Linked DNA regions of Cricetulus griseus. The protein of the gene in region 2 binds, or shares a complex with, the protein of the main gene of each other region. Links are inferred from orthologs where the notes say so. Each region holds a gene or a part of one and is shown on either strand. Other genes may lie near its edges. The genes, in order: Atp6v1d and Atp6v1a.

Region 1 (11,255 bases), on a different chromosome or scaffold from region 2:
TCACATCATTTGGGGCAGAGACTACCCCCCCCCCCATTTCTAGGCTGAGAGAGTATCCCTCTACGGGGAATGGGCTCCCAAAAGTCCATTTGTGCTCTAGGGATAAACACTTTTCACTACCAGAGGCCCCATAGACTGCCTAGGCCTCCTAACTGACACCCATGTTCAGGGGGCTTGGTTCAGTCCTATGCTGGTTTCCCAGCTGTCAGTCTGGAGATTATGAGCTCCCCCTTGTTCAGGTCAGCTGTTTTCATTTGAAGCCATTTACAGTTCCAAACTTAATTTCTTGATTCTTTTAGTATTTGACACTTAGGAGACTGATCTGTAAGTTCCAGGCCAGCCTGGTCTACATAGTGAAACCTTGTCTTAAAGAGAGAGAGAGGTGGGGGGAGGGAGAGGGAGGGAGGAAGGAAAGAAGGAAGGAAGGAAGGAAGGAAGGAGGGAAGGAAGGAAGGAAGGAAGGAAGGAAGGAAGGAAGGAAGGAAGGAAGGAAGGAAGAGCAAGCCTGCCTGAGCTACATAGGCTGTTCCTGAAGAGCCAGAGTCCATCCAAGAAAAGGAAAACAAGTACTTCACATCCAATTTGTGAATCCACATATACATCTTCATTATTTTCATTTAACAGGTGTTACCCTACCAGTGTTTGAACATTACCATGAAGGAACTGATAGTAAGTGTGACTATCTTAAGATATATGCTTGTAACTGAGAAATACAGTTGTTAGTCACTTGCTATTTAAAAATATGAGGCTTTGTCTTTTATTACCAATTCACTAACTAGACATCTGTGTTATCTCTTTGCTTAAACTGTACTCATCATGGATTGTTTATCATTTCTGGTTTGTGTCTTTTAAAAGTAGAATAAAACCTTACATCCTATGATGCATTCTGAATGCTGGATCTTTCTAGATAGTTTTAGCTAGCTCCAAGCTTTTTTGAAATTCTTCCTTTCTTAATTTGGCAGCATTTGTGAGGATAGTTAACACTTGTTTAGTCTTCTCAGAGTGAAATAGTTAACCTTTTTCCATATAAAAATATTTTTCTGCCACTTATAATTCATTGGTTCATGAACTTTTTCACTGAAATGTACAGAATGTTAATTGTGGGTCACATAAAGGAATAGTCATCTGTACAGAAACTTTCCTTGTACTAATGACATTGACTACTGTTAGCTAATTTGTCAAGCTGTGAAGTGGTTAACTTTCCCCTCTAGGGCTAATGGTATAGCTCTGTGGTAAAGGCTCGTCTAGTGTGTTTACTTCTCTCTTCTCTCCTTACAGTTACTCTAGTAGCCTTGTAAATACCCAAGTTCTGTTTAGTATGTTATAGTGTTAGATCCCCGAAAACTCAAGTATTCGGGGTCCCAAGCCATGTTCGCGGTCACCCCAATCACCAGGCGGATTCGAGAGCTTGCTGCAAACTGCACGAGGCTTTATTGTAATTTAACGAGCTAACCCCATGTTAGCTCTGGTCTTTCACTCACCCGCCATGGCGGACAGCTAGAAAAGATGGCTTGAAGCTGCTGCGCATAGATCTTTATAGGGCAGCGTAAGGGGAGTGTCTAGGGGTATGCACAGGCTCACGATTGGTGTGCCTCCAGGCTTGGAGGGCTTGCCCTGTGTTGATTGGTCAACTGGTTGTTATGGCCCATAGGCCCTCCCAGGGTGGTTGCTATGCTCTCTACGTCATTGCTGTGCGCTTGTCCGTAAAGCACACCCAGGGTCGTAAAGCATAGCGCCACCAGCTGACTTCTGATTGGCTCCTTGTCACGAGACAGGCATCTGACTTTCTAGTGACTAGGTCAAGGTCATAGAAGCACATGTTCAGCTGTTATGGCTGCCAAAAGGGAAGCCAGTTCCTTCAATAGAATGTTGTCATCTAAGCATGCAGCCATTCCAATGTCAGTCAGAGACTCTGTGGTGACCTGCAAGAGACCCTTAAGATGGGCTCATTAACCTTCCTTAGAAGAGAAGGTAGGTCATGAGATCCTTAGCTGAGATTCTAATCAGCCCTTCATTCATTTCTTTTGTAGCTGCACATGGTCTCTGGAGGTGCTAGAATATATAGAACATAAAAGACTAGCTAAAGGTGGGGGGGCTCGGCTATGGGGATGTTAACCATGCTAGGAGGAGACTTTTCTGTGAGGCACCTTTTGGGGTCATCATATTTCCATACTTAACTCATACATTATAATATAAGCCCAATAAACTCATTGGTTCACCAAGCTAGACTTAATGCAGTTGTTACCTTGGTCTGCTCATGTTAACCTGGAATGGGTATTTTGTGTTTGGCATTTGCATTTAATAGGAGTTAGTGAATTTGTTTTTCCATGTTTGTATTATTCTGAATCATCTTCCTTTTGGGAATTCATAGAGGATTATTTACTCCCTAATTAAAAATGTTGTCTCATGGCTCTTTCAGGTTATGAATTGACTGGTTTAGCTAGAGGTGGGGAACAGCTGGCCAAACTGAAGAGGAATTATGCCAAAGCAGTGGAACTACTGGTGGAGCTAGCTTCACTGCAGGTGTGTTGCAACAGGGAGCTCTCCAGCTTGGCTTCTCACAGTCACGTGGGCAACATTGGGGCTTGTGTTGGAGCACACTCAACTCAGATGACCCTTTGTGTGAAACAAGCCTAAACATCTGACTTCTGAAGTGGCCAGCGGCTTCAGCTCATCTGTCTTTGCTCTTTATTAGTAAAGTGCATACGTGGTGCTCCACTCCAAGGAGTGCTGTGACATGGTTCCTTTATGTGTATGTGTATGTGGTTCATTATGAGTGAATGCTTCTCTGTAGAAACTGCATTAGCTCTATAGAAATCGCATGTGCATTTTCTGTTTCTAAGGCAGGCTGAAAAAGAGTTAATTGTTTCTGGGTTCCCAAATGTTTTTTATGAGTGCAGTCTGAGTGGGGTCAAGTGAACAGGCGTGACTGATCATGGAGATGTGCGCTTGTCATTAATTTGTCCTTTTATTTTAGACTTCCTTTGTTACTCTGGATGAAGCCATTAAGATAACGAACAGGCGTGTAAATGCCATTGAGCATGGTGAGTCAAAGCTGCTGGGAAGCTCTTTGTTCCTCCCCCGCCCCGTCCACTTGTTAGACAGCTGCCAGGACTCAGGCCCAGCACTCCAGATTGAGAGGTGAGATGTTCCCCTGCCACAGTGGAGAGACAAATGTGTCCGTCAGTGAGAAAGCACAGAGATGCACCCTGAGGGAGTACCAGGTCAGAATGCCATACACCTCCCGTCGTTCATGCAGTTAGCAAAGTAGAAGTTCTATTCCTTAGGAGCCTTAGTGCTTTCTTAAGTTCTGTCCATTGGATGAGTGATTGTTTTGTTTTTTAACACATTAAATCTTTAAATCTCTCCTTTAGGCTATTGTCTCATTTTACTACGTTTATTTTCTTTTATCCCATTATTTTAAAAATACAACTATGTTAACAATGTTCTTGGCTGAAGAACTCAGTTTCTTTGAAAGAAATGTTTATTTAGCCTTAGGTAAGAGAGGAACAAGAACCGAAGCAAAGAAAGTCCTTAGTCCTTCAGTTGATGCCCTGATAGTATTATGCCACCTGAAAATACAGATGGCATGTTACTTGGTGGTGCCTCAGAGCAGGCTTGGCAAATACTGTACCACTGAGCTACACCATTACCCCAGAAACACAGTTCTTGTCTGCTTTTTAGTGTCAGTCTTTGTTTCATTGAACTTCCATCAAAACAAAATGGGTAAGGATAATAGTTCTCAACTTCAGAGAGCTCACATTACAGGAGGACGATAGGAACACTGATATGTAAAGCAGAGAGCGGAGTGACATATATAATGGTCACAGCATTTCTCTATCTTTCTCTCTCTCTCTCTGAGACAAAGTTTCTCTGTGTGTCTTTGGAGCCTATCCTGGAACTCACTTTGTAGACCAGGCTGGCCTCGAGATCCGCCTGCCTCTACCTCCCGAGCACTGGGATTAAAGGTGTGTTCCACCACTGCCTGGCTCTTCCTCTCAGTTTTTAGCCATGGTATTTTAGTGTATTTAAGCTAATGCCTGTGACTTATTGTTACTTGTTCAGGTATACTTAGTATCCAGTGTTACATCTGTTTTGGCCCACTATTGGTATCTGTATGTAGAAAAGATACTGGAAGGGTACATACCAAAATAATTTCAAGGTAATTTTATTTGGCTGGACTACATCTGATTTTAATTTTTTGTGTTTTTTATTTTCCAAGTTCTCTGCATTAAGTGTATGTTATTTCTACAATTAGAAAATAATTACTGTACAGCTAAATACTGGTAGTTTTTTGAAAGGGCATTTAAGTTCTCACATATGTATATTTTTAAACTCTAGTTATCATTCCCCGGATTGAACGCACCCTTGCCTATATTATCACAGAGCTGGATGAGAGAGAGCGAGAAGAATTCTATAGGTTTGTTGAATTGGCACTTAATGGTTTTGTTTTTGTTTTCCCCATACACTACAATCTGGGTTTGCTCAGTGACTAATGCACTTGCATAAGCGGTTTATTTTATTCTGTTGAATAAAAACAAGAAATTAATATTGGGCATGTGGTGCTTGCTTATAATCTCAGAACTCAGAAGACAAGACTGTAAGCTGAAAGCTAGCCTGGGCTATATCAAAACATATACTCTGAGAACATCAAACTGAAAGAAGAAATAACAGCTGTCCCCTTTTCCTGCATTTTGATCTTCCATTTGAGTTTATCTTGGTTAACAGTTACAGTCCAAAAATGTTACATGAGAAATTAAAGACCAAGTATGTAGATTTTCAATTGGATGCTCTTCCAAGTGTCATGAGACATCAAGGTGCTATGCTATTTATTAGATGAAGCATTATTTCAGCTAACATAACCACCCTGTACACTACCTGCTGTCAATCACTTGGTAGTTGTCATCAGAGCAGCTGTCAGCTGTCACATTACTGTGGTTCTTGTATTCACAGAGGCTGTGTTTTCCTTAAGAGGTGAAAATTTTTGACTTAAAACAAAAACGCTAATCCCTTACTGTACTTAATTTTTAAGTTAAACTTTACCAATTTTTAATCACACTTCCCTTCTACTAAGGGTAGACTATGTACGAAGAAGCATACTATGCAAACTTGGTTTCAGATCTTCAGGTCTCAGAGCATATCCACGGCAGAGTGGGGCAACCGTATTTCCAAAGGTGGTGGAGATCCGTATCATGTTTTGCACATAGATCAAACATGGCACCATCAAAAATTTATGCCTTTTAGAAAAACTAGTAAGATTATTCTTTAAAACAAAAGGAGTTGAGTGTCTCCTACATAAAACCTGAGATGAGAAATGAATCGAGCAAGCCACACACTGCACATTGAATACTTGGGCATTCCCAATTAATGAATCACACTGCACATTATGTGGTGAGAAAAACGACGCCCACAGCTTGTTTGTGAAGATTTAGAGCGGTGGGGTAAATACTAAACTAAGTTTGCATAAGTGGAGGGTGGGTAGGTGAGAGGAACGTTCAGGGCAGCAGGCTGGTCTCAGATCTTGAAACAGCTCAGTGTGACATAGAATTGTAGTTACCATTCATTTTCAGGGTTGTAGTGATCCAGAATCTGTACCATTACAGGATGGATTTCAAGTTTTATTCAATGTAGTCTAGGGTATCTGCAATCAGATATTAATAGCTATTTCCCTCAAACATTTTAAGATGACAGAAAATGAAAGTCAGATTCTAATTGTCCCATGTTTATTGCCTAGTTACAAATCCTGAAGACATTCAGTTCCTTTGAACTGAAAACAGCATTTTCAAAGTCCCCTTCTTGCAGGTTAAAGAAAATACAGGAGAAGAAAAAGATTATCAAGGAAAAATTCGAGAAGGAGTTGGAGTATCGGAGAGCAGCTGGAGAAGTGATGGAGCCTGCCAACCTGCTGGCTGAGGAGAAGGACGAGGACCTGCTGTTCGAGTAACGGCCCCTTTGCTCCCTCAGACCCAGCACCAGCTCCGTGTTAACCCAGTGTATAGGTTCGGTATATGTGGCTATTTATTTTGGCATAAGAATTCCCTGGCTTTAAGATTTATCGGGATGTCCTGTAAGACTATTTCTCCTGCATTGTGATTCAGCAACCAGTTATCACAGTTGAATGAGATGTGTAAAACTTGCCCAGTAACTTACATAATTTCCTCTGTGAAAGCGTCTTAGGATTCTATTTACAGTAGCTTCACTGGTACTTACACACATTCGTGGTTTCAGCCAACTGCTGGTGCAGCTTTTGTCCTACCCACTTGCAAACCATGGCACTGTGCAGCCACTGTTGTGTTACTGTGGTCGCAGCTCTACATCTATTTTTCTTTGCACGCTAAGTCTGTCTGTAATGGAAGCAGTTCTGCCCATTTAAATGTGACTTATGAACAGAGTAAAACGATTTTAAAAACATGTTGTTTCTCTTTCTTTTTACTAAGAATGGTGATTATGCCTTGTCGTGACCCAGCATATCTCAGCCTTAGTCCATGAGGTTCTACCTGAGTGGGGGTGTGTGGACCTGGAAGCTTCGCGGAACCCAATGGCGATAAAGACCAAACACAGGCATCTTGTCATCTTCAGAGAGCTCTCAGTTCCATGTTGTGGAACTGGAGTCATTTCTTTATTAGTCATCTTTTCTGGTGTTTCTTAACCATCCTGCTAATACTACGAGGCAGCCATTTCTCTCTTTGTTTTCTCGCTGTCCTGGCCGCTCGCCCCTTGGCTCCTAACCTGTCCTCCCAAGTTACTCATACCTCTAGCTCCTCTGCCCAGGTGAGGGCCTATTCAGATGCTTAGGCACATACAGATGCAAATTAGGAGGCATATCACCTTAGGCCATGGTAAACAGTAACAGCCTAGTGTTAATTAACAATACAATGGTGACCCGGTCCCCCACCATGCCTTTAGTTTCAGATAAGTGACCCTACTGGCACTCACATCTTTTCCCAGAGACATGTAGCTACGGGCCTTTTCTTATTCCCTATCTCAGTGTGTCACTAGGTTTATTTGAGACAGTTACTATATTTTGGAATACTAATAAGTGACTGCCAGTGCTAAATAAGACTTCATAATTATTTCCCTCTAATCTAAGAATGAGACTAATTCTTACTTTGGACTAATCAGAATACTTTTTGCTGTTTTAGAAGCAATAACAGTTTGTTCTCTTTTATGAAGATGAGATGCCAAAGTGGACCAGGAGTGTCTTGAATTTTCAGTATTGTCTGATTTGTCTTGATTATCTGATTACTCAGACTTTAATGCAGCCAGTTCCAGGACTCTGGGCTTGACTGGGCATGGTACAGATCTTAGTTATGAGAGTGACACTAGCATTAATATAATCTGATAACTGCTATCACTAGGTAGACTTTTAAAGATGTTAAATGATTTTTGTAGATATTTAGGATTATTTACCAGGTACTTAGTGTTTTATGTGTTTATGTTCTCAAAATGACCAAATAAGTTTTTTGTTTTTGTTTAAGTGGCCCTAGGGAGTGAACCCAGAGCTTCATGCTAAGGAAGCATTTATGTTAAGTCACCACACCAGTCTAAAAATAAGTATTTTAGCCCATTCCATGGAATAAAGATTGAGACACATAGGAGCTTGAATAATTGCTTTTAAATTAAAAAGCTGGAAAATGGTGTTGATGAACCTAAGTTTAAGTCCAAATAGTCTAATATATAGTATTTAGCTGGGTAGTGATGGTACACGCCTTTAATCCCAGCACTCGGGAGGCAGAGTAACAAGATATCACCACAAAAATGTATTAATTTGTTTTGTTTATAGGTATGTAAAGGTGGAGAAATTTGTGTACCACAGTTCACACAAGTCAGCTTTTCCTTTTACCATATGGGTCCCAGGATGGAACTCAAGCTGTGGGACCTGGGGTCAGGCACCTTCCATTGAGCCATCTCAGTGATCCTACCTTCAGATGTTCACACTTAACTTTTTGTCTTTTTTGGTGTGTGCATGTACATGCTTGCATGTGCACATGGAGGCCAGAAGACAACCTTGGGAACTATTTCTAAGGACCTGCCTACCTTGTTTGTTTGCTTGCTAGGCTAGCCTAGCAGGTTAGCGAGCCCCAGGGAACTATCTCTGTCTTTCCCATGCTTGGTTTATAAGCATGTACTACCATGCTGCTTTTTTTCTACATGGGTTCTTGGCAGGGTATTGAACTCAGAGTCTTTTGGCAAACTCTTCAGTAATCTTTCAGCCCACATTCATTTTATTCTTCTTGTTTCTTCCATATTTAAGGTAGCCTGTCTCAGAGAAGCTGATTTGTACGAAACCAGATGTAGCTCATAGGAGAAAATGTCAGGTTCAGAGTCAGTTCAGTACCCAAGTTCATAGCTGGGTAACATTGAACTGTCCAGCAATCAACTTCCCAGTATCTTGGTGAGGTGTAAACTGTACTGTTTCAGTATGCCTGTGGAGAAATTGGGCGGCTTATATAGGTCAAAGGGTACAGGTGGAATGAATACAAGGGGAATGATCTCAGAGGCATAATCCTTGAGCACTGGGCACTGCTTTTAGTTTGAATTTTAAGAAAAACATTGGACCAAAGGAATTTCGGTTTCTCATGCAGCATCAGCATCAGTAAAGCTCTGGTACTTAACTGGGCATGCTTCAACTGTCCACAGATTGACAGGTGTGTTCCTTTTGAAATAGGATCTTATGTTCCAAGGTGGTCTGGAACTCCTGCATGCTGGAATTGTAGACATGCACCATCAGGTTCAGCTAAGATTTTAGAGGACTTTATGGCTTTATGTTAAAAAGTCAAGATTACATAGTGGGTAAATGTTGGGTTTGGCTAGGAGTGAGATGGTCCAAAGGGGACAGATCAGGAATAGAAAAGAAAGCTGGAGTACATTGTTAGACCCCCGGGAGATCAGGCCTCCAGAATCTCAGCCCAGGACTGCAGCCACCCCAATCACCATGCGGAGGCAGAAACTTGATGCAAACAGCACGAGGCTTTATTATAGTTGTTAAACGAGCTAACCCCATGTTAGCTCGGGTCTTTCATTCACTAGCCATGGCAGATGGCTAGAAAAGACAGCTCGAAGCGTCTACATAGAGATCTTATTGGGCAGCATAAGGGGAGTGTCTAGGGGTATGCACAGGCTCAGGATTGGTGTGCCTCCAGGCTTGGAGGGCTTGCCCTGTGTCGATTGGTCAACTGGTTGTTATGGCCCGTAGGCCCTCCCAGGGTGGTTGCTATGCTCTGTGTGTCATTGCTGTGCACTTATCCGTAAAGCACACCCAGAACCGTAAAGCATAGCACCACCAGCTAACTTCTGATTGGTTCCTTGCCACCAGGCAGGCATCTGACCTCCTAGTGACTAAAGCAAGGTCAGACAAGCACGTGTTCGGCTGTTAGGCTGCCGTGTTTATGATTTGTGATCTTTGGGAGAAATGAAGTATGTGCCAACAACTCAAATATTCTCAAATCCCTGGCTACCCCAAAAAGAATTTGCCTGTTAATACCTCTTCTCTCTGAAAAGTTTTGTTTTTTCCAGCTCTGAGTTGGCTATTTTGTCCCTTCCTTCCTTCCTTCCTTCCTTCCTTCCTTCCTTCCTTCCTTCCTTCCTTCCTTCCTTCCTTCCTTCCTTCCTTCCTTCCTTTTTTGAGACAGGGTTTCTCTGTGTAGCTTTGGAGCTTGTCCTGGAACTTGTTCTGTAGACCAAGCTGGCCTCTGCCTCCCAAGGGCTGGGATTAAAGGCGTGCGCCGCCGCCGCCACCACCACCCCGTTGAGTTGACTATTTTCAATAGTTTTAGCTTAAAGGCTAGGTGTAGTGGCCAGCCTGGTTTACATAGTGAGTTCCAGTACAGCCAGGACTCTGTAGAAAGACCCTGTCTCATAAAAACAAGTTTCTTGTTTGTTCCAACCAATAAAGAAATAGGACTGACCATCTATGCCATTAAAGGACAACCCATGACAAATTACATTCTATTTGTATTCCACTCAGAGATTCCAGCAGTGTTGCTTCTGACAAACCCTTGGAAGAGGAGTGGTCTATATTTGCACAAACCTTAGATAGGAACATAATAAAAGAAAGTATTTATGGCTTCTTTGATTTGAAATAGTTTTGCTTTTTATTTTTACAATACAATGTGCAGTAAGACATCTCAAGATAACAAGTAGAGAAACAAGACAGTACAAAGGGAGATCAACAACGAATGCCAACGTAATTACCTTCATTAAGGATGAATCCCTGTTTAATATTTTCTACACATTCACAAAAATTACATTCAAATCATTCCTTGTCAGTATTTACTCCTTAGGCCATGAGAGAAGGAAAACAATCCACACACTAGATTTCCATAGAAAACTAATCTGGACTAGTCTAAATACTAATGTCCTATTTGTTCTGACATAGGGAAATTCAAGAAATGATGGTTCTTCCTTGTTTGGGTTTCCCGAGAACATGTCATTAGCTGATATTGTCTACTTTGTTTCTGAGACAGGATCTCATGTGGCTGATGGTAACTGTGAGCTGCTGTCCCTTCTGCTTCCACTTTCAAAGCTCTGGGACTACAGCTATGAACCCCATGTTGGTTTTCTGTGGTGTTGGGGATCTAGACAGGGCTTTGTGAATGCTAGGTAGTACTCTACCAACTGAGCTATGTTCCTGCCAACCACAATATCATTTCTGAGGCTTCCCTAGCACTGCAGTTTCCAATCAGAACCACAGAGGGATAGGGAATTGAACTGGCCCTCACACTGTACAATTACAGTTATAACAGAGCTTTTTTTTTCTTTTTTTTTTTAAGCACAGCTAAACTTTTCACTGTTCAGGGACTATTATTGAGCATTATTAGATTCATAATCACTAGGATTTAGAAAATTTCAGGATATATACTATCCATGTATGGATATGAGTAAAGTTAGGATCTTACTGACTTTGAAAAATCTCAGTCTAAAAGAATCCATGGTAGCATGGTATGTGCCTTTATAGGCCATGTGTTTGAGTCTTGATCCACATGGCCCCACTGTCACCAGTGGCAGTGACATTACTTAAAATTTACTCAAATCCAATCATCGTTTTGCTTTGTTTTGTTTTGTTTTTTTCCTTTCTTTCTTTGAGACAGAGTCTCATGTAGCTCTGGCCAGCCTTGAACTCTAGATCTTCCCGCTGGGGTTTCAGGTGTGCATCAAGTCTCTGTTAGTCAGAGCTCTACTGACCATAGACTACCATTCATTCCTGAGGAGAAAACACAGTGGAAAACTGAGAAGATTTAATCGTTAAGTGCTAA
Region 2 (11,258 bases):
ACACAACTGCATTTTATAGGCAGCGATTCTTTGTCTTTGAGGGAACAACACTCAGTGGAAGACTGGCAGGGACTGGCTGTCACCTCTAACTGATGTACTCGGCCTCCTTGCACACTTGGTGGATACCTGAGAAGTGTGTCTTCCTCTAGTTCCCTGAATTCCCCAGCAGTACTGTGTTGGCATAGGCTGAGGTTTGTTAACTTGCTTGACAATGACTAATTAGTTTTTTCTATTCTGTCCTCATTTTGGGCCCACTCCTCACTGGTGTTTCCTGGAAAAGCAAAACTCAAATACTCCTTTCAGAGCCAACTTCCAGGGGAAACGAACTCTCAAGTCAACTTCAGAATCATTTACCACTCACTTGAGAAAACTGGTTCCTTCATTTATACTCTAACAATTGTTGTGATACATTAAAATTAACACACTGAAGACATTGGGATATTATCTAGCTGACTAAAAATAACCCATTCTAATGAATAGGCCTGCCCATGAATTTTTAAGCATTCCTCTCTGTAAACTTGACAATCAGTAGCAATTCTGTGTTGTCCGATCCATGTTGCTTCGTTCCTTCAGAAACTGTTAAAAACTGACATGTTCAAGAAATAACATACATTCTAATCCGATGACTATTCTTGATTATCAACTTGACTACATCTGGAATTAACTAAAAGGCAAGTGGCTCGGTACCCCTGTCAGGGATTTTTCTGGGTTGGATCCTTTGAGGTGGGAAGACCCCCTTCCACGTGGGCCACACCTGGTGGCAGTCTATTGCATAAAGTGCATGGCTGAAGGAAGCGCTTGCTCTCTGCTTGCTCTCACTCTCTGTTCATTCCTTCACATGTATTCTGGTGTATCCGTAACACCAGCTGAGGCATCCAGCCTTGTGGACACACTTAACAGTCTACTGGAATCTTGGACTTTCCATTGGGAGACAGCCATGTTGAATAGTTGGACCATAACCTGTAAGCCACAGTAAGTCCTACATATATATGCTATCAGGTGTTTCCCCAGAAAACTCTAAAACACCTTGTGTGATGGTTAACTGTGGTTGCCAGTTTGACTGGCTTTAGGATCAATGAGTCAAGCATGTTAACATACCCGATGAGGTTTTTCTGGATTATATTAACTGATCTGGGCAGTACGTTCCAGTGGTGACCCAGGTGTGAGGCCCAAGGGGAAAGAGGTTTGCTTTTTTACATGCAAGTAATCTACAAAGTAGAATTTTCATGTTGTGCAGGCAAACTCATCTACTCTGCTGCTGCCATTGTCACTGTTGCTATCATTCTTCATGGACATGAGAATTCAGTCCCCTTGCCTTTCCACATGACTGAGGACTAGTGGACTCTTGAGCAACCTTTGGACCTTCAGCACCAGACTGTGATGAAAAAGCTGTAGCCTGTGGACTGAGCAGTTACCATATTCTAGGCATATCCAGTGTAAGACAGCCATTTTTGGACTACTCAGTGCATATTGTATAAGCCAAATCATTAGTGCCCCTCCCCCCACTTTTTTTTTTTTTTGGTTTTTCAAGACAGGGTTTCCCTATGTAGCTTTGGAGCCTAGAACTAGCTCTTGTAGACCAGGCTGGTCTCAAACTCATAGAGATCCGCCTGCCTCTGCCTCCCATGTGCTGGGATTTAAGGCGAGCGCCACCACAGCCCAGCTTCAATAATCTCCCTTTATGTACATTGTTCCCCTGAAGAACCCTGAGATGCCTATATTAGTAAAGCACATTTCTTGGTGTGACTGTGCAGCCATTTCCAGAGATGGATGGATACCAACTAAGGGAAAGGCCTCCCCTAAATGTGGTTGGCATCATCCAATAGGCTTGGGGTTTTGGTGCAACAAAGGCAGGGAGAAGCCAGTTAGTGCAAATTCCTCTCACCCTGAATGTCTGTTGCTGTTGCCATCACCCACAGACGCCAGACTCCAGCTTCCCCAGCCTTTCCACATGGACTCTCAAGGAAACTTCTCGGCTGTCAGCCTTGGCCTGGGTGTGCTTTCATCAGTCCCTCTTGGACTGAGGCTTCCAGGTTCCTGGGCTGAGTAGCTACTGGACATTGACTGTTGAGCATGCAGATGGCCACTGTTGGACTATGCAGTTCCAACCATGCAAGCCAATCTAATAAACCCACATATACACATCTAGATAACATACTGGAGAGCAGCAGAGGATCTAAAATTATTTGCATTGCACATTATAAGACTTAGTTCAAACTGAACAAAAACTAAAATGAGCACCATGGATCACTTTTAATTTTGAAAAAAAAAAAACAAAAAACCCACTCACTTAAGGCAGGTCAGAACGGGGTAAGATTCTGCAAACTGTACTTCCCACCCACCGTGAGCTATGATTGGAGGATGCTGTGGAGACTGTTGGGAATGCCACACTCCAACTTCACGATGCAAGTACTCTATAACGTAAAACATTTTCAAAAGGACATATTGTAACACTAAGTCAAAATATAAAGTGGAATGTTTTCTAGGAGAGCTTGTTCCTCCTCATCCTCCCACCCCCGAAAAAAGGAAAGTAAAGTTAATTTAAATCCACTTTTTATTTTTCATAGATTTTAATAATTATACATTACTCTTGACATAAAGACGGTGAAATCTTAAGGATAAGGAGGCAATTTATATGGCCTCTTCTATTTGTTGTCCAGCATGGAAGTTTCCAAAGGGTGTAGGTGTGAGATTTAACACTGGAAAAATACTTATGAAACTTGTTTAACTGGCTGCACTCATGTCCAGGCACAGCACAATAAATAGAACTGCATAATCTTTTTAAAAGATCACTGAATTTTAACATATCCTTACTAAAGAAACACTATCAGTGAACAATCCAAAACTCTACAATGTGGATAAAAGGAAAGTTACAGTGGAGATCTGAGCAACATTTCTCTAGCTTCTTCACACTCATACATCAATATTCTTAAAAGGAGAAATAATGCACATCCCAAATCCAGAACAACAAAAAACAAACTTGGTCAAGTAGTTTCTTTGGATCATTCACTCTGATCACAAACCTAGTTTGCTGGTAGGTCTAAGTAGAAAGGTTTTGAAATCTTTTTCATTTCCACTAGTCAGGGGCCTCTGGATACAAAGCCACATTGGAAGCAAACTGATTAAGCAGCACCATTAATCCATATCTCAACAAGTCATTGCATAATCCACATCTGTCAACATTGTTCAACAGTTTTTAAAATGTGACCTGGAAGAGCATCCTTCCGGAACAGCAGTCCACTGTGTAAAGACATGCACTGTGCAAGGATTTACACATTATGTCTGAACTGTAGACTGACTATGTCTACCCAAAAGACCAAAAGAAATGTACCACCTAATAATTTAAATAACATACCAAGGCTTAAAAGAAATACTTTGTTATCACACTTGTGTACTTGAGAGTGTCAGACATGTTCAATACCCTTCCCTGTCCTGAAGAGGAAGTATGGTGTCAGCATTATCAGCACAGAGAGTGATCAGGGGGCTAGCTCTCCAAGCTCTCAGAAATGGGCCTCATTATGCAAACATGGAAATTATTATTTAAACATACTGAAACAGTGAGACAAAATTGATCTTTTCCTTTTTTTATGACCCAGTTTTTGCTACCAGTCAAATACAAGAATAACTTCATCTCTGTCAACAGAATGGATACAGTCATGCTACTATGACCACAGACCCTTTGAGAAGCTTTCTGAGCCAGTGAATAAAAACATAGAAAAGTAATATTTTCTGCAATTGGTAGACTGTTTTTCAGAATTTCATCAAGCAAACAAACATATGACACATGTACCTTGTAAAAATAATGCCACTCTGGCCCCAAGAAATACCACAGCACAGCTGGTTCTTACAGGGGCAAACTGCCTGTAAGCACTACTACGTTATTTGTGACATGCCAGTTCCCACTGCCACTCTGAGAAGCTTGTCCACCTAAGTTTGAGGAAAAGAATGGCTATGATGTGGATCACATTTTCAATGATTTTTAAATTGTACTTAAAAAAAGATTTCTTGGTAATTGAGTATATAAAAGTCCTTGATATTGAATTTCTCTCAGTGAAATAAAATATGCTTTAACAAGATGATGTTAATTTAAGTTTGACCACCTGGCTCTTTTTTTCTTTCTTTCTTTCTTTCTTTCACACTTTCAGAGGGAACTGATTTATCTATTATGCTCAGCCTTGCAAACGCCTGTTATAAAGACAAAATAGTTCCCAAGTGCCCCATAATCTCTCCTGATTGATAATGGGGAAGCTATGCATAATTGGAACATTAATCTTTTATGTTTCTAAATGGAAATATTTCTTGCAAAACAGTTACTCAACAGTTACTCAACAAAACACTAAGTTGCAAGTGGTCTGACTCCAAATGCAGAGTCATTTCCTCAGTACCTATCCATAGGTACAGAGATCTGGCCTTCCATTCCCAATAGAGTCCATGCAGTAGTCCTGTTTACAGTTTAATGGAGATGAGGGAAGGGGTAGTCACCTTACATACAGGTTTACAGTAGCATAGCCATTGTGTACCATTGTGTACCATATGCACTACATTCACCACTCCAGATGAAGGTCAGGGAGCCCCTTCAAACACTGGCACAAAGGAATGTTTGTTTTAAAGACCTACCAAAGAAACAACAAAACAAATGATAACACACAGAGGCACTAGTCTCAAAGCTGCACAATAGGGAAGCAAAGGGTTTGAGATGAGAAATTCAGGGAAATATACACATGAGCTTGCTGAGGAGGAGGAAAGAGACACAGTCTAATCTTCAAGGCTACGGAATGCGTTCTGCATATCTTCAAGAAGTTGTGCGTAGTCAGCTTTGATCCTTGCCTCGCCATCTTTCACAGGATCCTGAGAAATAATACAAATTTAATTCACCTATTGGAAATAATTTTCAAGATGTAAGATAGGTTACTTATTAATACGGAGTACCAGGTTAGTTGAGGTACACTGGTAAATCACAGGTAGGAGTCAAAACTACCCTATTTTCTTTTACAGTGGAAATGTGCAAATAGACTGAAACAAAACAAAATCCATTATTTCATTTTTGAATCTTGCCTGTAGTTGATGCTCAATGATCAAACCTCAGCAATGTGTATGTTAGTGGGAACTTCGTAATATCATGTACTAGACACATGTGTGTATACAAGAACTGGAAGTTAAAATTCAGTGAATTTCCTGAAGGCCTGGAGCATCACTCGAAGACGGAAAAGTGAGACTAATAGAGCACATTTAACGGAATCCGGGTCATTAGGTTTAGTAGCAAGTACCATTACCCACTAAGCCATTTAGTGGCCTCCAGGTCTGTGCTTCTACAGTACAAGTATGCTCAAAGCATCGTTTTCAGTGGGTGATTACTACATGTGCCTATGCGTGACTTAGAAATAACACTATGTGCCGGGTGTTAGTGGCACACACTTTTAATCCCAGTACTTGGAAGGCAGAGGCAGGTGGATCTCTGTGAGTTTGAGGCCAGCCTGGTCTACAGAGTGAGTTCCAGGCTTCAAAGCAATAGAGAAACCCTGTCTCAAAGAACAAAAAAAAAAAAAAAAAAAAAAGAAGTAACACAATGTAATCCAACTCATCAAATATTTTAAAACACTCCTATATCTGGGTTTCTACTGGTAAGTTCACTTAACTGGTTAAACTTTGTTTATGAGAAAGTGGAGGCTAGATGAAATAATAGGCACTTTACTAAAGTAACTGCTGTCCAGCTAGGACGTTACTCTATGCTGACTAGTAGCTAAGACAGAGAGCAAACACATTAGAATTTATTTTAGACATGGCATACTATAATATTTTTTTAATGTGTATGTGTGTGTGCCTGAGTATATATCTGTACATCCTTTGTGTGCAGTAATCCTTGGGTGTCAGCAAACTCAGATCCTCAGAGTTTCGGTTGTATCCACCATATAGGTGCTAGGAGTTGAATCCAGGCTCTCTGCAAGAGCAGTAAGTGCTCTTAACTGCTGAGCCTTCTTTCCAACCCTACAAACATGACATAGTACAATCTTTACCACTGGAATTCCTGCTTGAACATAACTTGGAAGATTGTTCTGGTTTTATACAACCTAAGTATTATAAAATGAAAAATGCAAATTTCAGGAACATAGAGATGGCTCAGCAGTTAAACTTGCTGCTTTTCCAGAGGACCCAAGCTTAGTTCCCAGCACCCACACTGTGTGCAGGCACCAGCTCCAGGTAATCCAACAGCCACTCTGTACTCCACAGGTGACCACACACAAGTGGCACAATACTTACAACAAATGTATCTATACACATAAATCAAATGAAAATAGGTCTTCAAAAAGAAAAATGCAAATTTCATACCTCAGGTTTGGAACTCAAATAGGACAGGAAGGAAGGGAAAGTGAAGAAGGGAGGGAGAGAGGGAGGGAGGGAGGAAGGAAGGTTGGCTTCTTGCCAACAAAGGTCAGAGTAGAAAGAAACTATACCTTAAATTTCATGGAGGAAAGTTTATAGAGGATCTCCCCCATGTGCTCACGGATAATGGACCATGTGATTTTATTGTCACTCTGGGCAGTGGTCTCAACAGCTCTACGGGCCATATCATAAAATGAAATCATGTTGGACAGCATCCCCACTGTCTTATAGAATGGACAGAACCTAGGGAAAATGAACAACAAGGCAATTAGCAAAAACAACCTACAAAGCAAGTGCATATTTTTATTATATGAAACTTCATGAATTACCAGCCATTAGTTTCTTTAAACATATATTCTGCTTCCAATTATTGAACAGAAAACAATGAAGCAGTACTGCCACACTAATGACTTGTCAGCAGTCTGTTTGGGTACAAGAAGTTAAATATGTAACTCAAGTGGAAAAACAACTGAGTTGTAAGACTCCTTGTGGCCAGAGTCAAGGTTTAATGAATAATAGGAAAGCAGAGAATTGCAAACTTGCTAAAGTTACCTTGTTATCCCTCCCTCCTCCGTGTACTCAGAGCCTTGGGTATCCCAGGTAAGCTATCACCCCCTCCCCAAGCCCCAGCCTTCAGTTCTCTTTAGTATACTCATTTTTATCTGCCCATACCTTTTAAAAGCATACACACTCAAGCACATGCACGCTCGCAAGCAAACACAAACACACACACACACACACACTCAACTCCATGTATCTTATTATAGTCATTCTGAAGAATTCTACCCATTCTCTTTATGTGGTGTTTCAGTTCAGGACAAATCAGACTTCTGAGGCTAACTGACATATTGGCATTCTGGTCAATCCTATTTGCTCAGTTTTCACCGTGGGTATCAGTCCGTGCCTTCCTCCTCCTCTGAGACAGTCTCGGCAGTCTACCACTGTGTATGCCACACTAGCTTCCTAGAAGTCCTGTTTCCAGCATCCTAGGACACAGATGTGTGCTACTGTGCTTGGCTTTGTGTGGATTTGGAGGGCTTGAAATCAGGCACATCAAGCCGGTTCCCTAGCTCTTTTTAGTCTTGGATGGAGTCAAATAGGATTTAAGAGAGAGAAGGCTAGCTTAAGACAAAAGGATCAAATTCTCATGTTCCAAAGAAACAGGTTTTCTAAACAAGCTACATCAGCAGCAGAGAAAATGAAAACAGGCAAGCAGTGGGCAGAGAAGGAAGAAGGTGGGAGGGACTTTCAACAAGTCTTTTGTATCAAGAAACCTGGGACCCTTGTGAAATAAGGCAGGGAAGCACAGAATACTTAGGCAAGGACAGCAGAATGCAGCAGGAGATGCCCTGTAGGTCTGCGAACAATGCCATAATTCACTCTAATTATAGATGTTTGTGTGAGGGAAAACATGGTCAGAATTTCACTAACAAAGCAAATTCAGACAAAGGGGCATACTAGATGCCTGCTATAAACACACAGAACAAGCAATATACTGAGTCAGAATGCACTTGTATGGGAAAGTTTCCAACATGCAGGCAGCTTCTTTGCCAAAACACAACAAAAAGTCTTCAAACGCCTGTAACTCCCAAATTTGACCCCCTCACACAGACATACATGCAGGCAAAACACCAATCAATGCACACAAATCAGCCAAATAAAAATACATTATAAAAATAAGGTAATTAGGCCTGTTGTGGTGGTGCCCACCTTTATCCCAGGCACTCTAGACACAGAGGCAGGCAGATCTCTGAGAGCTAGAGGCCTGTCTGGTCTACAGAGTGAGTTTCAGGGCAGTCAGGGCTACAAAGAGAAACCCTGTCTCAAGGGGAAATAAAAAAAAAAAAAAGAAATTAGCATAGCATACCTGTCATAAGGAGTGTATCCATTTTGTTGCAGGAAGTCATCTTTGATAAGCTTTGCTACCTCCAGAGTGATTTTATCTGTCTCTGCTAAAGAAGCCTAGAAAACAAAAGGGTACTTTAAGAAATTTTATTTCATTGTGTGGGATCAATAGCAACAAATCAATTGGCAAGCAGACATCAACATACAATTACTTATCACTGATAAATGCAAAGGTTTTGGTTGTTTTTTAGTAGTGGTAAAACAGAACATGACACAAAATTTCGCATCTAGAAGTTATGCATGGTGACTCATGCCTATGATCTCAGCACTTGGCCAGCTGAGAGGGAGGACTGCAGTAGTTCCAAGGTAGGCCAGATGGCAAAGTGAGCTTTAGGCCGGTCTGAGTTGTACCCCTCAAGGTTCCTCTGTAATATAAAGCACTATCACGTTGTTATGAAACATTTTCTCTTGTACACCTGAAACTCTAAGCCCACAAACTCCATTGCTCTTCTCCCTACTTTAGACATCGGATATGAGTAGAACCATATACTATTTCCTTCATAACTAGCTTATCTCATTTAAAATGTCCTCATCATTCATCTATGCTGAAGCAGGTGACTAATGTATTTGTCCACTAGTTCACTAAAAGGTGGACATTTGAATCACTTTCACTCTTGGCTATATAGATAATACTACTATGAATATGAGTATGCAAGATAATTAATTTTTAAAAAAATCATTAATTTATGTGTATGAGTGCCTTGCCTGCGTGTATATGTATTATGAGTGTGCCTGACTCCCAGGGGTCAGAAGGCAATGGATATCCTGGAACTGGAGTTACAAATGGTTATGAACCATCATGTGAATACTGGGAACTGAACCCTGCAAGAACAAGTGCTCTTAGCCATTGAGTCACCTAACTAGCCCTGATTATTCTTTAAAGGCATCACGTGTATGTGTGTACGCCTGTGTGTGTGCCACCACACCACCTCCTGGCCTCACACCCATTTTATAAAGTACTTTTTTTACACCATACCTTGTTGCTATTATTTGAATTCAGTTTTTAAGCTTGATTGACAGAAACCTAAATAGTCCATAGTTACTTTGTTGTTAACATTACAGGATGTTTAGAACAATGATGGATAGGTAAGTATTTGCTTATCTGAGTGCTGTTTTTTTAGTAAGCTAAGTTACACAGCTGCCTCAACCTCTAAGTATCACTGCCTCAAACGCTCTGCTGTTGGCAGCTGCCAGGCCAGCCATGAGACAATACCATTGTTGCTGGGATGACTAACAGGAGGAGGAAGGACAAACAGGAAGTTCCAGGCACTCTGGGCTGACTAGGTGCATCAGCACCTCAGCTGAGGATCAAGCCTTTCACAGCTCTCTCTTTAAAAAGAAAAAAAAAAATCTCTTTCACCTCTATTTCTTTCTTCAACCACACTTAAATATTAAGCATCGTTGATGTGTTTTTGTTTTAAATTATGGAAAAATGTATATTTTGTTTTGTAAAAATACTTTTTCACTATTTGAAACATTCTCCAGTGTCTCTGACTAGCTGATTTTAAGATCCACCATGCTGTTCTGTACTATACAATTCACTTCTTGCAACTCCGGCAATTACATTCTGTATGCACAGCCTCCATTCTTTACCTTGTATCTCTGCCCCTGGTAGAGGGCACCAAACTTTCATCAAATTTTCTACTATTATAAACCCTAAGGACTCAAGGCACCCAGCTCATTCTGTCCACTATGGCCACTCCAAATGATATATCTATCAATGGTATTCCAGTACTTGGCAACCTCCAGCTGTATAACTTTTGCCATTCAAACTAGTATAGATTGGTATGTCCTTGCTGTTTGAAGGAGTATCCACAGGTCTGTAATATTTCTGGCTTCCTTCTCTCATCTGTCTGCTCTACCCTGTGGTTATCTTTTAAACAGTCGACCATTGATTTTATTTACTAAAAACTTCCTTTAAAATTTATTACATTTAATGCCATGTGCATCAGTGCTTTAAATGCATATATGTCTGTGGTACCCAGGGAGCCCAGAAGAGGGCACTGATCCCCTGGATCAGGAGTTAGAGCTATGAGCCCCTAGGTGGGTGCTGGGAACCTTTGAAAGAGGAGCAAGTGCTCTTAAACACTGAGCTATCTTATCTCTCCAGCTCCACTGCTGCTTTCTCTTGAGGAAAATTGCCTATAACTCTCTCCGGGGGACCAGACACCTCTGGCTCCCAACAGCACATGCACTTTCACGCACACATCCACACACACAGGCAGGCACACATACACAAAAAATCTTTTAAAAATTGTATTCTACTAACATGAAAGTGTTTCCTCTCATACCTAAATTTTTAACCTATTTGTAGTTTACCTTCATATGTGGAACTGGGAAGCAACCCAGTTTCATTTGCTTTAAACACCTAACAGTTTTTCCACTGCTGACTAAAACAATCCATACTTCTCCCATTTGATCTGTGAAGCGCTATGCAGTATCAAGGATCCATGTACATATAAATCTATCCCGGCTCTGTCCATTGGTTCGTTTGTCTGTTATCTCACCAATACCACACTGTTTTTACTATTAGAGTTTTCTGTCAATACCCAGGAGGAGAACATCCCCTCCCTATTTACTATTGTGTTTTGTTTCCTAAGAGCCAATCTCTAGGACAGTAAATGAACTTCAGAATGACTGCTGATTTACTCAGAAGATTCAGCTACGGTGGGCTGAGATGTAGCTCAGTAGCAGGGTGTTTGTTTAGCACGCCTGGGGTACCATCTCCAGCACTGAGAGATGCAATCAACTAGAAATGTGGTTGGTATTACACTGACTTTATAGTTCAAACAGAAGTGGTAATGCCAAAATTTTTACTTACTTGCTTATTGTGTGTGCACGGTGTGCATGTATGTGGTGTGCACGCACATGTAGGCACGCCACAGAGAGGTGTGGGGTTGGAGAACAACTCTGTGGCATTTCTTTTGTCCTCCCACCTCTATGTAGACTCTGGGGTTGAATTCAGGTTACCA

What was found.
Region 1: the proteins of Atp6v1a (region 2) and Atp6v1d are in contact, whole or in part, in a cryo-EM structure (PDB 9B8P), measured with the Rattus norvegicus proteins. The link is inferred for Cricetulus griseus from reciprocal best matches to the Homo sapiens genes ATP6V1A and ATP6V1D. Residues at the interface, in NP_001101788.1 of Rattus norvegicus: Ala366, Met368, Pro369, Ala370, Asp371, Ser372, Asp416, Ser418, Asp436, Lys438, Glu491, Gln494, Leu495, Val496; in NP_955418.1 of Rattus norvegicus: Lys4, Asp5, Arg6, Arg167, Ala171, Val175, Ile176, Arg179, Tyr186, Glu190, Arg194, Glu197, Tyr200, Arg201, Lys204, Ile205, Lys208.

The regions. Positions count from the first base shown.
Region 1 is NC_048598.1:124,792,726-124,803,980, forward strand, and holds the end of Atp6v1d (V-type proton ATPase subunit D), read left to right. Parts: intron 1-624; coding exon 625-669; intron 670-2,419; coding exon 2,420-2,523; intron 2,524-2,977; coding exon 2,978-3,044; coding exon of another isoform or gene 3,045-3,141; intron 3,142-4,341; coding exon 4,342-4,420; exon of another isoform or gene 4,421-4,423; intron 4,424-5,802; coding exon 5,803-5,944; 3' UTR 5,945-6,411; downstream 6,412-11,255. UniProt on the Homo sapiens protein: Subunit of the V1 complex of vacuolar(H+)-ATPase (V-ATPase), a multisubunit enzyme composed of a peripheral complex (V1) that hydrolyzes ATP and a membrane integral complex (V0) that translocates protons.
Region 2 is NC_048597.1:46,313,170-46,324,427, reverse strand, and holds the end of Atp6v1a (V-type proton ATPase catalytic subunit A), read right to left. Parts: intron 8,344-11,258; coding exon 8,249-8,343; intron 6,625-8,248; coding exon 6,453-6,624; intron 4,849-6,452; coding exon 4,756-4,848; 3' UTR 4,528-4,755; downstream 1-4,527. UniProt on the Homo sapiens protein: Catalytic subunit of the V1 complex of vacuolar(H+)-ATPase (V-ATPase), a multisubunit enzyme composed of a peripheral complex (V1) that hydrolyzes ATP and a membrane integral complex (V0) that translocates protons.